Macaca fascicularis: one gene and its partners. The protein of the gene in region 2 purifies or fractionates together with the protein of the main gene of each other region. This does not show direct contact. Links are inferred from orthologs where the notes say so. Each region holds a gene or a part of one and is shown on either strand. Other genes may lie near its edges.

Evidence for each region.
Region 1: the proteins of EZH1 (region 2) and PHF19 purify together in Homo sapiens (affinity purification with mass spectrometry; 4 studies listed by BioGRID and IntAct, counting the BioPlex papers as one, with this or other methods). This does not show direct contact. The link is inferred for Macaca fascicularis from reciprocal best matches to the Homo sapiens genes EZH1 and PHF19.
Region 3: the proteins of EZH1 (region 2) and JARID2 purify together in Homo sapiens (affinity purification with mass spectrometry; 4 studies listed by BioGRID and IntAct, with this or other methods). This does not show direct contact. The link is inferred for Macaca fascicularis from reciprocal best matches to the Homo sapiens genes EZH1 and JARID2.

The regions. Positions count from the first base shown.
Region 1 is NC_088389.1:37,054,057-37,058,353, reverse strand, and holds the start of PHF19 (PHD finger protein 19), read right to left. Parts: upstream 2,801-4,297; 5' UTR 2,768-2,800; intron 2,766-2,767; exon of another isoform or gene 272-2,765; 5' UTR 133-271; intron 1-132.
Region 2 is NC_088390.1:63,798,776-63,806,063, forward strand, and holds the start of EZH1 (histone-lysine N-methyltransferase EZH1), read right to left. Parts: upstream 4,454-7,288; 5' UTR 4,423-4,453; intron 1-4,422.
Region 3 is NC_088378.1:157,706,535-157,710,834, reverse strand, and holds the start of JARID2 (protein Jumonji), read left to right. Parts: upstream 1-1,500; 5' UTR 1,501-1,603; intron 1,604-1,987; exon of another isoform or gene 1,988-2,016; coding exon of another isoform or gene 2,017-2,131; exon of another isoform or gene 2,132-2,388; 5' UTR 2,389-2,547; coding exon 2,548-2,592; intron 2,593-3,857; exon of another isoform or gene 3,858-4,065; intron 4,066-4,300. Other genes in the region: uncharacterized protein, read right to left, coding at 686-1,500, 2,017-2,131.

The DNA.
Region 1 (4,297 bases), on a different chromosome or scaffold from region 2:
GCTGAGAATCGCAGGCTGCCGCTGGCTTCCCCCACCTCCCTGGGCACATCGGAGGAGAAGGCCATAGCTGGCCCCTGGTCTGTGTTCCCTGGCACCTCTGAGCAGCCTGGAATTCTCAGTGGGGGTGCTCACCTTCCTGGTGGAAATCCCCAGGGTGTTGAAGGCAAGTCCAAAATTTCAAGTTCTAGGCACTTTTGCTCTGCTCTGTGTGGAGTGTCTGGATGATCTCAAAGAGAAGTCACTTCCTCACAGTGGGTTCTGATGACCCCATCTGTAAAAAAGAAGTCGCAACAGGTGGCTTCTAGGCTGTAAGATTCTGGGACCCTATCTTGCCTGGGACTGAGGCAACCAGAAGGAGCAGGAAAGCCCTGATGAAATCCAAGGCCTTAGGACCACAGACTCCTCAGGGCCCTCCCTGCACCACCCCACTCAGGAAGTCATAGGTGGCTACATGCTCCGGTCAGGTGCCACCACTTTGCTGCCTCAAGGAGAACAAAGCATTAAACAACTACAAGATCACGGCAGCTGGTCTCAGCAGCCAAGTGGGACGTAGATCCACGTTTGCAGGAGAAGTACACCTTGGAAACGATGGCTCCTGGCATGTGTACTGTGTGCTGGGCAACAGTTTCCCTCCAAATCCTTACAGCAACCTGCAAGGAATTCTTCTGCAGCTGTACATAGGGTCAGAGAAGCAAGATGCCTGGTCCAAAGGCACACAGCCTCTGGTGGTGGAGCAGGATTCACTCCAGGGCTGTGGGGCCCCAAGCTCTGTGCGTGTGATCTCTGATGGAGATCAGAGTACCCAGCTCTTGTCTCATCTATTAAATGGAGAAGATGATCCCTACATATCTTTCCATCGAGTTCAGCTGCTACAGAGGTTTTGCAAACTTTCACATTGGTTTCAGATCATGGGTTTTGAGGTCAGACAGAGCTGAGTTGAAATCCTGGGTCCACTGCTTACTAACTGCGGGCCCTGGGACAAAGTCCTTAACTTCTCTGAAACTCAGATTCTGCATCTGTAAAATGGGACAATAATACCTATTTCACCCAACTGTTGTGATGACTAAATGAGATCGTGGATCAAAGTGTGGTGTGTAGCCCAAGTGAAGTACTTGAAAGACTTTGACATTTGGCTCAGATGGTGACTACAGGCCTTCCAGCTCCTCAGAGAAAAGGATGAAAGTGGGACATTATGCTTACACTGTGTTTTCACATCTATCTACTGGAGCCTCACAGGTGGGCAGTGCAGGTCATCGGACCTGAGATACATTAAACTGCCCACCTGCCCTGGTGTAACACCGGGGCTGCCACAGGCTGGTGGCAAAGAGGGCACGGCATCTTACAGCCACAGTGTACATCAGGACCTTCACCCCTATAGCAAACGACCTCCAGGCCTGCATCAAGACCATGAGAAGACACTCCCTTTAACTGTGTACCCCATAGCTGCAAACTTTCCTACAGCCCTACCTGTTCCCTCCTTTCCCTGGGGTTTGAGATAAAACAAACACCCAAGACTTCTCTCCCCATCTGTGGGTCCCTTCTCTCCCCTCTGGCTTCAATACCACCCACTCTACCTGTTCATTCCCACGGACATCAAAATGTGCCCAAGCTGCTCTAATAAGAAAAGGGAAAAATAACTAGTACTACTTTTGGGTGCTGTGTTATGTAATTTTACAGACATCATCTCATCTAATTGTCACTCTATGAAGCAGGTATGGCCATCATCATCCCCACCTTAGAGATGAGAAAACCGAGGCACAGAGAGGCTAAGTGACTTGCTGAAGGTCTCACAGCTAGTGAGTGGGGACTCCTGAATCCAGAGCCAGTTCTCTAACCACGCATGCCTTTACAACACTCTATTCTCGTCTCCAATTTCTACATCTACCCTCTCCTCACTTAAGAACCCCTCTCCTAGGGGTTCTTAATTGTAGAACCCCTAGAAAAGATTGTCTATACAGGCACTTGGATCTCCAGGGAATCATCTCTCCAAGTGTATATGAATGTCGAGGACGCCAAATGCTCTGGGCCCGTCCCAGTCTCTATCCAACCAGCCCTTCTGCCAGCACCTGACCGGCTCTCAGCCCTTCCTTCCGGATTCCCTTCCTTTCCCCGGCTTCCCGCATCCTCTGGGGGGAATTCCCCCTGCGTCTCTGGTGGCTCCTTATTCGTCTCCTTGACCCCTTTCTCTTCCACACTGGGCCTCCATCGGCTCCATCCACGAGAAGTCTCTCTGCGCCGCGTGTCCCCATCTCCCACTCGTCCTTCGGGGCGCCCCTGCACTAGACCCCACTCCCATGGGAAGTCTTTGTGGGCCCCATGATGAGGCTGGGCGCCCCGCTCTGTGATTCCTCTCGCCTGCCGGCGCCAGCACAGCCCCCGCCGCCCGGCTCTGCAGGCCGGGTTGCCTGTCTGAGCCCCCAGCCCAGTCGGTGATCCCTCCCGAGGGCGGGGGAGCGTCGCGTCGCCACCTCAACATATCCAGTTGCGAGCGCAGCGCTGGGAGTCAGGCAGCGCCGGTGCCCGCGGAAGCAGGAATAAGCCGCCGGGCGGCCGGGGCGCCTGCCGCTGGGCTGGGGGCAGTGAGTCCAGGGGCCGGCTCTGCAGCCGAGGTTCCATGTCCCCGGCTGCGCCCGGGGAGTCCCCGCTTCAGCGAGGGGGAGCTGGAGCGGGGCGTCCAGGACGAGGAAGGGGGCCGGGGAGCCGCCCTGCTGTCCTGGGGCAGGGGTGCAGAGCAGCCAACCTCGTCGCCGCCTCCGCCACCACCTACCCGCGGCCCTGCCGGGAGCTTCCGGTGGAGTGTGGAGGACGCAGCCGCGCGGGCGGAAACCTGGAAGGCAGGGCCGGGGCGGGGGGCTGCTGCTCCGCGGCCCGCCGCGGGCGGGGCGAGCGATCCCCATGCGGGGAAACTGAGTCCGAGGGCTGGGTCTGCGGCGCCACGGGCACTGTGCGCCCAGTTAACTGACACGCGTGCACGCCGCTCCTCCGCGTGCGGGGCTCCTGGCACCTAGTGCAGCACCTGCGCGTATTTAGTGCTCAGTAAAATGCCCCCTGAAAAAACAAACACGAACCGGGAATTGGAGCCCCCACCCTGGTCCCCTGCCTGCCTGAGATCCGAGTAGTGAGGTGAAGAGCAGTAAAACCCAAGTCTTACCATTCTTGGATTTCTCCAGAAGATCCTAGCACAGTGCCAGGCTCTCCCAAGCTTATTGGGTTGAAGCAATCAAGTGATAGTACTTGATAGTACTTGATCAAAGTGATAGTACTAAGTGGTTCCAGGCCCTTTGCTTTCACAAACTGGGTATTTTAAGGAACCGTTTCTGTTTTCGTCTAAGCGCGCGCGCACACACACACACACACACACACACACACACACACAGAGTCGCTAAATCCTTAAGAATATATTAATCAAAATAGTTACGGAACTTAGTGTTGGGGTAGAATTTTAGATTAAAAGCTACACAACCTTTATTTTTGCGAACTACCAATTTGACAAAGGCTCCTTCTCTGTCAGATGTCTTAACCTTGTAGGACTGATGGTGGAGGGAGGGATGAGACTCTCCACCTTGTTGGTTTGGGTTTAACACCTCAAAAATCTCTTTATGTGTTAGGGTCCTTTTTTTTTTTGAGATGGAGTTTCACTCTTGTCACCGAGGCTGGAGTGCAATGGCCCAATCTCGGCTCACTGCAACCTCTGCTTCCTGGGTTCAAGCAATTCTCCTGTCTCAGCCTCTTGAGTAGCTGGGATTACAGGCGCCCGCCACCACGCCCAGCTAATTTTTGTATTTTTAGTACAGAGGAGGGTCTCACCATGTTGGCTAGGCTGGTCTCGAACTCCTGACTTCAGGTGATCCACCCACCTCCGCCTCCCAAAGTGCTAGGATTACAGGCGTGAGCCACCACACCTGGCCTAGGGTCCCTTTTTATGGCCCGACTCTCAACTAGATTGTAAGAGCAGGGAACGATCTTTTACGTGTTTGTTTTTTAACCCGGCATGCCTGTAAGTCTCTCACTTACTGGGGGCAGAGCTGCTGTCCTCCAACTTCCACTAGACAGGCGGAAGCTGTGGGACACAGGGTACTCTAGTCAAAGGGGGACCTCAGGGGTCCACCTGGGAGGGAAATGCTGCTTGTGGACAAGCAGAGGATCTCGGGGCCTCTAAGAGAGAATGTCTGCAAACTATGGGAGGTTGACCAGATGTGGCCTCTGTGGGGCCTTTCGATTCTGGGGGAAAAGGATTCAAAGAATTAAGTGTCTGAATTAAAAATTGATGGGCCGGGCGTGGTGGCTCACCCCTGTA
Region 2 (7,288 bases):
GCAGGCCTTGAACTCCTGACTTGAAGCAATCCCCCTGCCTCAGCCTCCCAAAGTGTTGAGATTACAGATGTGAGCCACTGTGCCCAGCCAGAACGCTGACTTGGAAGAGTAAAAGAAATCTCCTAACAGGTCAGAGCACTATCTTGACTGGTTCTGTACTATGTCAGCCCAAAGTTTAATACTGTACTGCATTTAGTGACTGCTCATACCGTCCAATAAAAATAAGACTTTTTCATCTATTTTGAATCAAATTAGTAGGGTAGGTGAGTTAGAGAATAAAACACACTAAAGATACTGAACTCCAACTACCCATTAAGTAACTCATGACTTTAGGGTGTAGTGTACTCAAGTCCCAACTGATGACTGACCGATAGACTAAAGAGTAGGAAAGAATCTAATATGTACACAGTTTGGACAGAAAACAAACAAACGAAAAGCGAGGGACTTTCCAGAATGGAGAAGCACAATTTTTCTTTTTTTTAACTTTTAACCCTTCCCCTCAATCCCAACTTATCTAATTATCTTCACTTTTCTCCACACATTGTTCTCCCTTTTCTCTTTATTTTATTCTATGTAGAAATGGAATTAGTGTGTTTTTAGTGTTGCTACCTCAAATCTTTTCTGGGATGCTACTAGTGAACAAAGTGGAAACTTTTTTTTTGAGACAGGGTCTCCCTCTGTCGCCCAGGCTAGAGTACAGTGACGCCATCTCCGCTCACTGCAACCTCCGCCTCCCAGGTTCAAGGGATTCTCGTTCCTCAGCCTCCCAAGTAGCTGGGATGACAGGTGTGTGCCACCAGGCCCAGCTAATTGTAGAAATGGGGTTTCACTGTGTTGGACAGGCTGGTCCCAAACTCCTGGCTTCAAGTGATCAATCCCTCGGCCTCCTCCCAAAGAGATGGGATTATAGGCGTGAGCCACAGTGTGGGGGACCCAAAGTGAAACTTTTTAAACTTAGTCCAAGACCAGAAAAAGACATACTTAATGACATGAATTGTTACATGTTTCATATAAAGAGCAAATCAAAGGGAAGGAACTGTTGCCTATAGAGTAAGGAAGCCAGGTTTCAGATCCTAGGAATTAAAAATAGACAAAATTAATATTCTGAATCGGTTTCTTATTTTGTTTTGATTTTGAGACAGCGTCTTGCTCTGTTGCCCAGACTGGAATGCAGTGGCTTGCAACCTCTGCCTCCCGGGTTCAACCAATCCTCCCTACTCAGCCTCCTGAGTAGCTGAGACTACAGGCCCACACCACTAGGCCCAGCTAATTTTTGTAATGTTTTTGTAGAGACAGAGTTTTGTCATGTTGCCCAAGCTGGTCTCAAACTCCTGAACTCAAGTGATCTGCCCACCTTAGCCTCCCAAAGTACGGGGATTACAGGCGTGAGCCACATGTCTAGACTGAAATCGGTTGTTTGAAGGTATAATTCAAAGGCAAATATATAAGTAACAAGCCCGACCACATTTTTCTCATCTTTCCCTTCTCCCAAATGTCTCCTTGGGAGTAAAATTTCATTTTTAGTTCCAGCCTCATTCTAGTGTTGTCTCTTTTTTTTTTTTTTTCCCTGAGACGGAGTCTCACTCTTTTGTGTCCAGGCTGGAGTGCAGTGGCGTGATCTCACTGCAACCTCCCACTCCCGAGTTCAAGCGATTCTCCCACCTCAGTCTCCCAAGAGCTAGGATTATAGGTGTCCGCTACCATGCCTGACTAATTTTTTGTATTTTAGAGATGGGGTTTCACCATATATTGGCCAGGCTGGTTTTGAACTCCCGACCTCAGGTGATCCACCAGCCTCATCCTCCCAAAGTGCTGGGATTATAGGTGTGAGCCATCAAGCCCGGCCTCTAGTGCTGTTTCAGAGGGCACTAATGAAGAAGTCATTTACACTTTAAGGAATTTTAAGCTGGGCCTTAGCATCAAGTTCCACGATTGACATACAAGTACTCTGCCAGTTACTGACAACACTAGCATCCAGATCACCTGACTCCCAGTGCCAGAAATTTCCCCACAATTTATTCCACAAATATATGTTGAGCACCTACTATTATACTTAATAGTAGTGTCTACTATGTGTTACTGTTTTAGGTGTTTGGGGTACATCATTGAATAAAACATACATCCCTGCCTTTGGAGTTGACTCATTATGTTTGTGATACACAACACTAAGCATAAACCTTGACAATGATAGCATTATTACAGTTTTATAAATGGTCCTTTCTCCTATTATGTATGTGCATTTTTAAATACTTCTCTCTCCCTTTTTTTTTTTTTTTTGAGACAGAATCTTTCTCTGTCACCCATGCTGGAGTGCAGTGGTGCAATGTTGGCTCACTGCAACCTCCACCTCCCGGGTTCAAGCAATTCTTGTGCCTCAGCCCCCTGAATAGCTGGGATTACAGGCACCCACCAGCACACTCAGCTAATTCTTATATTTTTTTGTAGAGAAGGAGTTTCGTCATGTTGCCCAGGCTGCTCTCGAACTCCTAACCTCAACTGATCCGCCTGCTTCGGCCTCCCAAAGCGCTGGGATTACAGGCCTGAGCCACTGTGCCTGGCCTCTTTTTTGTTTTTTTGAGACAGAGTCTCACTCTGTTACCCAGGCTGGTGTGCAGTGGCGCCATCTCGGCTCACTGCCACTTCCCAGGTTCAAGCGATTCTAATGCCTCAGCCCTCCCGAGTAGCTGGGACTACAGGCGTGTGCCACCACACCTGGTTAATTTTTGTATTTTTAGTAGAGATGGAGTTTCACCATGTTGCCCAGGCTGGTCTCAAACTCCTGGGCTCAAATGATCCATCCACCTCAACCTCCCAAAGTGCTGGGATTACAGGCATGAGCCACTGCGCCCATTTTTTTTTTTTTTCCTTGAGACAGGGTCTCACGCGCTGTCACCCAGACTGGAGTGCAGTGGCGGGATCAGAGCTCACTGTAACCTTGACCTCCCAGTCTCAAGCAATACTCCTGCTTCAGCCTCCCAAGTAGCTGGGAGCTGGGACTATAGAAGAAGCCCACCACACCTGGCTAGTTTTTTTGTTTGTTTGTTTGTTTGTTTGTTTGTAGAGATGAGGTCTCACTATTGTTGCCTGGGCTGATCCCAAACTCCTGGGCTCAAGCTATTCTCCTGCCTGGGCCTCCCGAACGCTGGGATTTCAGATGTGAGCTACCGAGCCCAGCCTAAAGTACTTATCTCCTAACACACACTCTCTCCTATGTAAGTAATCTCTTTTATCAATGGCATATCTGGGGATTCCGAGACTTAAAATAGACAAGCTTTCACAGAAACCTCTAATAGGGTTAGCACCTCTCAGGCTAGAAACCTCCTTCAATATCAGCTTCCTAAACTTAAAAAACACTGAGTGTGGGAATTTTTCTATTCAACGGCAGCATGGCAGCAAACGCGGAGGAGACCCACGTTTTCAATGCCATCCTTGCACACCCCTAATTGCTAGTCTGCCTGAGCTCTTTGACATCCTCCCCTGCCAAGCGTCAGGTTCCTATCGGCCTGGGCTACACCATTTACAACCCTACATTTCACCCTCCATATTCCTTCACATTCCCTGGGGGCACTAACATCCTTCAGGCATCCCTTCCCTTCCCTGCTCAAGAAACAATTCCTCAGTAGTCACTTTTTATTGAAATAAAAGTTTGTCCCACATTTCCTAACAGGCATGTCCCAAATACAACACCTTGTCTTTGCTTCGAGGCACTTTTATTTATATCATTTGATCCTCGGGAGAATGGTGGGGGTGAGCGATCATTGGCGTGAGACCAAAAGTCTGGAGTGAAGGAGATTCTTGCTCAGGGCCAGGCCCAGGCGAGGGGACCGAGGCACCCAGGACGCACGTGAGGAGGCGCTCACTGCATTTGCACGACCCTGAGTCAGTATTCCTTTACACTTTGTGCCTTGGGAGCCTGACTCACTCACCTCACCCTAGTCCCGGCCCTGTTTTTACTGCTACCCCCTCCTCAACAGCCCCGAAAGCCATCGCAAGATCAGCCCCGGTCTCTAGCCCCCACCCAAGCACAGCTCCAGGTCCCCAGAGTCCACCTCGCTAAAGGCCCCCGCAGGTGCCACCGCCCACCCGCGCCCTTTGGGCGCTGGGGCTCCCGCCCATCGTCCCACCCCGCCGTCCAACGGGATTCCCCGTCCCCGAGCCCGCCCCCGCCGCTCCTCCTCCCGGGCACACAGCCCTCGTAGTCCCAGACGCTGTCCTCGCCTGGGGCTCCCTCGCCCCGTCGCCCCCATTCCCCTAGCCCTCGGAATGAGAAGGGGCGCCTGCTACCCCCGGCCAGAGAGGCAGTGTGTCCCTCGAATTCCTTCCAATTCCCTGATCCCTCCGCCTCTCCCTCCCTCAGGCCCAGGGCGGCGAGGGGAGGAGGCCCGGCCCCACCGCTCGGCCCAGGCTTGTTTACTCACTCACCCTCCATCCCGAGCCGCAGGGACCCGCCGCTAGGACGCATGCGCGCTGCGGCCCCACCCCTGCGCCGCGTCCCGCCCCGCGCCTCCTTTCGGCGCGTGCGCATTGACCCACCCGTATCGCGCGGTCGCACGTTGGTCATTTGCCGCCAAAAACCCGCACTGAGGAGTCCTGACGGGTGCAGCCGCCCCGACGGCTTCCAAAGCGGCGCTGGCAGGGGAGGGCAAGGGCTCTGGGGAAACCTTCGCAGAGCCACTAATATTTTCCTGAAGACCCTATTCAGCGGATGCGCCATCCTCACGCGCTGGTTGCAAGCCACATCTCACTTCAGCATTTGAAGCCAACCCAGAGCACCTTCATACCGATGCTTCACCCCTACCAGTTCCCCAGACACCGGTCTATGGGCTCTAAGCCCTTTATTTATGTCTAATCTCCCTATTTCTGTCCATAGTTCTTCTAGTCACTTGGAATCAAAATTGTAGCCTTGTATCAAAATAAATCCCCACAAGACACCTACTAGTTACAAAGGTAAAAAATAGCAAATTTACAGATAAGAATCTGGCAGACACCACCTTAACAAAGTGATCAAAGTTAACATCAGTAGTCATGAGAGGTATTGTTTTCTTCTCCTTTTTTTTTTTTTGCGGGAGTAGGGGTGGGGCGTGACAGAAGGCTGGAGTGCAGTAGCGAGATCTCGGCTCACTACAACCTCTGCCTCCGGGGCTCAAGCAATTCTCCCACCTCAGGCTCACTTCAACCTCTGCCTCCTGGGCTCAAGCAATTCTCCCGCCTCAGCCTCCCGAGTAGCCGGGAATACAGGCTCGTGCCACCACGCCTGGCTAATTTTTGTATTTTTAGTAGAGATGGGGTTTCACTGTATTGGCCAGGCTGCTGTCAAACTCCTGACCTCAGGTGATCTGCCTGCCTTGGCATCCCAAAGTGCTGAGATTGCCAGCATGAGCCACCACTCCCAGCCTCCCTCTTCTTTTTAAGGAGACAGGGTCTTGCTGTGTTGCCCAGGCTGATCTTGAACTCCAGGGTTCAAGCCGTTCTCCCACCTTGATTTCCCAAAGTGCTGGGATTACAGGCATGAGCCATTGCCCCCCGCTGAGAGGTATTACCAAGTGCCTCTCAACATGATGCGATGAGAAGCGCACAAAATCACTTCTGTGGCATTCTTGACAAATACGCGTAAACTGATTTTTTTTGTATTTTGTTTGTTTGTTTGTTTTGAGATGGAATTTCGCTCTTGTTGCCTAGGCTGGAGTGCAATGGTGCAATCTCGGCTCACTGCAACCTCTGCCTCCTGGATTCAAGCGATTCTCCCGCCTTAGCCTCCCAAGTAGCTGGATTTACAGGCATGCACCACTACACCCGGCAAATTTTGTATTTTTAGTAGAGATGGGATTTCATCATGTTGTCCAGACTGGTCTCGAACTCCTGACTCAGGTGATCCACCCACCTCGGCCTCCCAAAGTGCTGGGATTACAGGCATAAGCCACCATGCCCAGCCTGCATAAACTGAATTGAATTATGAGGAAACATCAGACAAATCCAAAATGAGAGACAATCTACAGAATAACTGGCCAGTATCTCCAAGTGTCAAGATCATGAAAGACAAGGGGTGGGCCGGGCGCGGTGGCTCAAGCCTGTAATCCCAGCACTTTGGGAGGCCGAGGCGGGTGGATCACGAGGTCAGGAGATCGAGACTATCCTGGCTAACATGGTGAAACCCCGTCTCTACTAAAAATACAAAAAAAAAAAAAAACTAGCCGGGCGTGGTGGCGGGCGCCTGTAGTCTCAGCTACTTGGGAGGCTGAGGCAGGAGAATGGCGTGAACCCGGGAGGCGGAGCTTGCAGTGAGCCGAGATCACGCCACTGCACTCCAGCCTGGGAGACACAGGGAGACTCCGTCTCAAAAAAAAAAAAAAAAAAAAAAAAAAAAAAAAAAAAAAAAAAAAGACAAGGGGTGAGGAACCATCTCAGATTGGTAGACTGAGGAGATATGACAACTAAATGTAATGTGTGATCCTGGATTGAATCCTGGTCCAGAAAAAGAACACCAGTGAGATAATTTGATGAAATTAGAATAAAATCTCTATTTTAGTTCATAGTATTTTATCAATCTTATTCCTGGTTTTAATCATTGTAATTGAGGAAGTTTGATGGACATATAGGAACTCTACCATATTTGCAACTCTAGTAAATCTGAAATTATTTCAAAATATAAATTTTTAAAATTAAAAATTAAAATGCAAAATAATACCATCTTGATTTTGATTTTGTCTCAAAGTGTTTTATTAGAAAAGCTTGTAATGTTCATTTTTTCAAGTAATCTTCATAAAAACTCTAAGAATTATGTAGAGCAACTTCAGGTTATACATCAGGTTATTCTGGCATAAAGGAGTTAAAAGACTTGCCTTACACAGATGAATAATTCTGTCAGGTCTTAAACTCAGGTTGCTGGATTCCATCCAGATTTAGTGTTCTTTTCTTCATATAAAAACTTCGACTTTGCTGTTTTTCCCTTGCCCCTATCCATTTAACTACCAAATCAAGGAAAATATTCCTTTATACTTGCAATTTACACTGGCATTCTTTTCTATTCCCGCTGCCTTCTAGATAAGTGGTTCTGAAACTTGGCTCACACTTGGGGAGCTTGAGGAGCTTTTATTTTTTGAGATGGAGTTTCACTCTTGTTGCCCAGGCTGGAGTGCAATGGCGCGATCTCAGTTTACCGCACGCAACCTCCGCCTCCCGGGTTCAAGTAATTCTCCTGCCTCAGCCTGCCCGAGTAGCTGGGATTACAGGCATGCGCCACCATGCCTGGCTAATTTTGTATTTTTAGTAGAGACGAGGTTTCTCCATG
Region 3 (4,300 bases), on a different chromosome or scaffold from region 2:
ACAAGCCTCCCCACAGGTTTGATCACCACTAATCTGCAGATGAGGAAACTGACCAGCTCAGAGTGGCTCTCAGTTGCCTTTTGGGAAGTGGCCAAGGTGCGATTTGAATCCAGGTCTCTTACCTCCAGTTTCTGAGACCTTTCTAGACACCAAGGTTATCTCTTCAAATACTGCTGCAAGTAAACAGCTGTGTTACTCGAGTATCTAGACTTTTGAAGTAAGCAGACTCTAGGGAATGGGTAGAGTAAAATATATGGGTATGTGCTCGAGGGAGCGCTTCTGCCACGTTTTATTCCGAGGCTAGCCTGAGAGATCATGGAAAACATTGCTTCTCCAAAACCGCAGCGAAAAACAAGGAAATTAACAAGGCAGAATGGCGATGCGAGACTTGACAAAGTTGTTAATAAGGCGAAGGCCCAAAGCGCTACGCCAGGGCCTGCTACTTCATTTGTTTCAGCGATTAAACCTGCACGTCAGGGGGCTCGAGGCAGGTAAAAAGCAGGCTCTCGTGTGGCCCCGGCAGTTGATATTACTGGCACTCGGTGTTCGAGATGCTTCCTTACAGCTGCGTTTCTGTGCGGCTTGGTCTCCATATTCCACTCATTTTTGCCTCAACATTTCGTGGTATTTTATCACCAAATACGCCCGGCAAAGCAAAGATCCCGTTCAGTTTCTTTAAACACGGCTATCTTTTCTCAGGAGGCAGCCGCCAGGGCTTCACTCCTGGGCCATCAGCAACGTCCCCCAAGCGGGTCGGGCGGAAACGCGTTCGTGACCGAGGGGCCGCGTGCCGAGCTCGGGCGTGGGGGGGCGTGGCCCTTACACTCGGCGACCCCTGGCCACCGCCCACCCCGCGCGTGGGGGCGTGCGCGGCTGCGGGGCGCGGAGAGGAGTGACCTCGGACTACCCTAGGCGCCCGCAGCACGCTCTGTACACAGACGCGAGGCGCTGTCCTGAGGTGACACCGGCTGCACGGCACAAGCAGCAGGCGCCGCCGATCAACTAGTTCGCACCGAGGATTCCTCTTGGTGCGTGGCCCAGTTTTCCTTAGGACGGGCTCCAACCCCTCCCTGACACCGCCCCCCTCGCCGCCACGCTCCGAGGCCTTCCCCGGGGAAGCCTCGCGTCCCTCCCCCGCGGCTCCGGGCCGCACGCGCGCGATTCCTCGATTCCACAGGCGGTTCGCGCCGCGGGTGGGGGCGGGGCGCGCGGGGAGGGGGCCGGCGGCCGCCAGGGGAGGGGGGCCGGGGCCCAGGGGACGGAGGGGGGCCGGCGTGGGGAGTTCCTCGCTCGCGGACCACACGCTCCGCGGGCCAATCCCGAGCCAGCCTCTAGCAGTGTCGCACGCGGGACACGTCCAAGCGTTTGTTGGCACGGCCGGTGAGGGGGAGGGGGCGAGGAGGAGGGAGGGGAGTTGAGTGACAGGCTTTGCGGGGCAGGCTGGGAATTGTAGTTCCCAGCTTCCGTGGCCATAGCCATTTTGTAGTCGGGGGACTACAACTTCCAGAAGATCAAGGGGACCATTCTAAGGTGCCCCGGGAATAGGCGGCTCTCCCCGGGGCCGGGCGTCCTGGGGCACTCCTACCCAGCAGCCCGGCTGCAGGTAGACGCGAAGGCAGTGGCGGGGGCTGGCGTGGGGCGGTCGTGGGGTGAGCGGCAGGCAGGGGAAAGGGGGTGAGGTGGAGCGACGGAGCGTGCCATGCATTGAGCTAGGGAGCCTCTCTCAATTCCACGCCTGGGCTCGGCGTGGGAGCGACGCCCGAGGGCTTGCCTGGGAGGGGTTCGTCGAGGTCGCTCGGGTGTCTGGTTGGCCAGGCTGCGGGGGTGCCCTGGACTGGGCCAGGGGCGGTCGGCACCGGGCTAAGCGGGCGCCTGGCGGCTGAGCGGTGGGAGTTTTCGGCTGGCGCCCGGCGGGGAATTATCCGAGGAGCCCTAACTTGTATAAAAGCAGAGTCCATTTAAAGTTGGGCTGGATAGCCTCTCTCTCATTGGTTAGGGGGCTTGGAAAAAAGAGACTCGGCGAGCCCTCGCTGTGGTGCTGCCGCCGCCGCCGCCGCCGCCGCCGCCGCCGCCGCTGGAGTTGACTCTTCTGCTCGCACTGCTGCTGCAGCACAAACGTGACTTCCAACATTTTTTATTTATCTTTCCCTTTTCTTTTCCAAGATGTAACTACGGATCAGACACTAAGGACCTTCACGTTTCGCTGATGTAGTTTTTGGAGGAAAAAGGGGGGGGAGTGAAGGGCGTCGGTTTTTTTTTGTGTGTGTGTGTATGTGTTTCGGGGGAAATTTTCCATTATGAGTGTTTTACTAAAGTGAATTTTTTTTTGTTTGCTTCGTTCGTCTTTGGCTCTTTTTTTTTCCTTCCCAATTTCGGATTTATTTCAAGGCGAATCTGGCTTTGGGGGAAGAGGAAGAAAAGTCGGATTACAAGATCAACCACCACCAACAACAATAAAAACCACCAGGATATTTTTTTGCAAATTTCTGACGGCTTTAAATTCATGAAGCAATTGTCCCCTTTTGCAATCAGCATTTGGATCTCAGAATGAGCAAGGAAAGACCGAAGAGGAATATCATTCAGAAGAAATACGTAAGTGCTCCTAACAACACATCCTTTGACTTGCAGTTTTAAGCAATGGCTGTGAATGTCAAGTTTATAGATAATTCTGCAGCTGAAGGGTTTTAAACACAGCGTCCGATAAGGCTGTTTCTTTCTTTTCTGAAAGAGGGCTTTTCAAGCGAAGTGGTGTCTGCCTAGTTTGGTTGAAAAAACAGATTGGTGTAGAGATACCTCAAGTGAATAAATTGACCTCGAATGACACAACCATAATCTAGTTTTAGATGAAAGGCAAGGGATTTTGGTGGAGCTTGAGGTGGGGGGGCGGCTGCGGTAATGTAACTAAACTGCATTCTCAAGCGGATTTGGCCCCGTATTGCACTTTGCATGCAAATGAGCCTGTGTTATTATTATTAATGTTATTTGGAAAAATCGTGTAACTCATGTGTGTTGGAAGCCCTTTAAGTTGCGATGGAGGGTCCGATTATGGCGATCTTCTCTTTGCATTGGCACATCAAATTTAACGTCTGTGGTCGTTTTGGCTTATCTGGTTTACAACATAAACCAGTTGGGAATCATGTTACAGCGAATGCATTTGTTGGGATTGACTTTAATAATGAGGCTGGTTTTGTTTAAAAAATTCATGATTTCCAGTTGTAGGGGAAAAGGACACACACTATGGCTAATGTTTTTAAGTGTGTACGTGAATGTATATGTAAGTAACTACAAATATTTTCTCCCTGTTAACTGGGCTTCTGAAATTGGGTGATTATTCACAGATTTAAATGGCTTGGAATAGTTAAATTTGTTTTGTGCATAGTACAGCTACGTTTTGATTGGCATGGGGAGTGTTTTTGTTTTGTGTGTGGTGGCTTTTTTTTTTTTTTTAAGTTTGAGGGGAGGGAGGAAGGGGGGACCGAGCGATTAACCAAATATGCACTCGAGTGATCTGTGATCAGCGGCATGCTTTAAATTAAATAACTCATTTTTTTCAAAAAAGGCCAAATGAACATACCTTAGGGATAATGCAACGTAAGAGGAAAGTTTTATTTAAGTTGGGTAGACAAATTGGTGTTAATATTTTCCCTTTTTGATCATTGTGGTGTGTGTAATGAGAGATGACCTTCGGGGCACTGGTTTTGTAAAAATATATTTAATGGAAAAGCTGAATGCTTCTTCAAGAGAGCTGATCCTTATCTAGACACGTCAACTTCAACTATGAAAGAAATGCAAGGTTAAATAATCAAGCCCAACTTAGAATGCTGTTCCATAAAGAATTTAAGAATTAAAATACATCCGCATTGCAGAGGGCTGGGTAGAATGCAAAGGACTAGTTTAAACTCAGGCTGTAGAAACTGCACGGAGGCAACCTTGCCTCGGAGCGTAGACGCCTTCCCGGGGCACGTCCGTTTCGGATGCAGCCACAAAGCAAATGGGGTAGAACTTGGACGAGAACCGCACCCCGCCTCCCATTCCGGACCTCGTTGAGGTGGACAGCAGCGTGGGGTGGGTTTTCTTTTTTATTGCGGGCAGTCAGCGGATCGTGTCTCCGAGTCCGGACGTCCGGCTGCAAGCCCGTGGCTGGCGGCGGCCGCGGGAGGCACGGCACGAGTTAATGCTTCGGGAGCAGAGCCGGTGTTCCCGACGTGCTCGAGCCGGCTGCGAAGGGGACGGCGCGCGGGGGTCGCGGCAGGCTGGGCCTGGGGCTGGGCGGGCGGGGGGGCGCGCGCGCGCGCGGCCT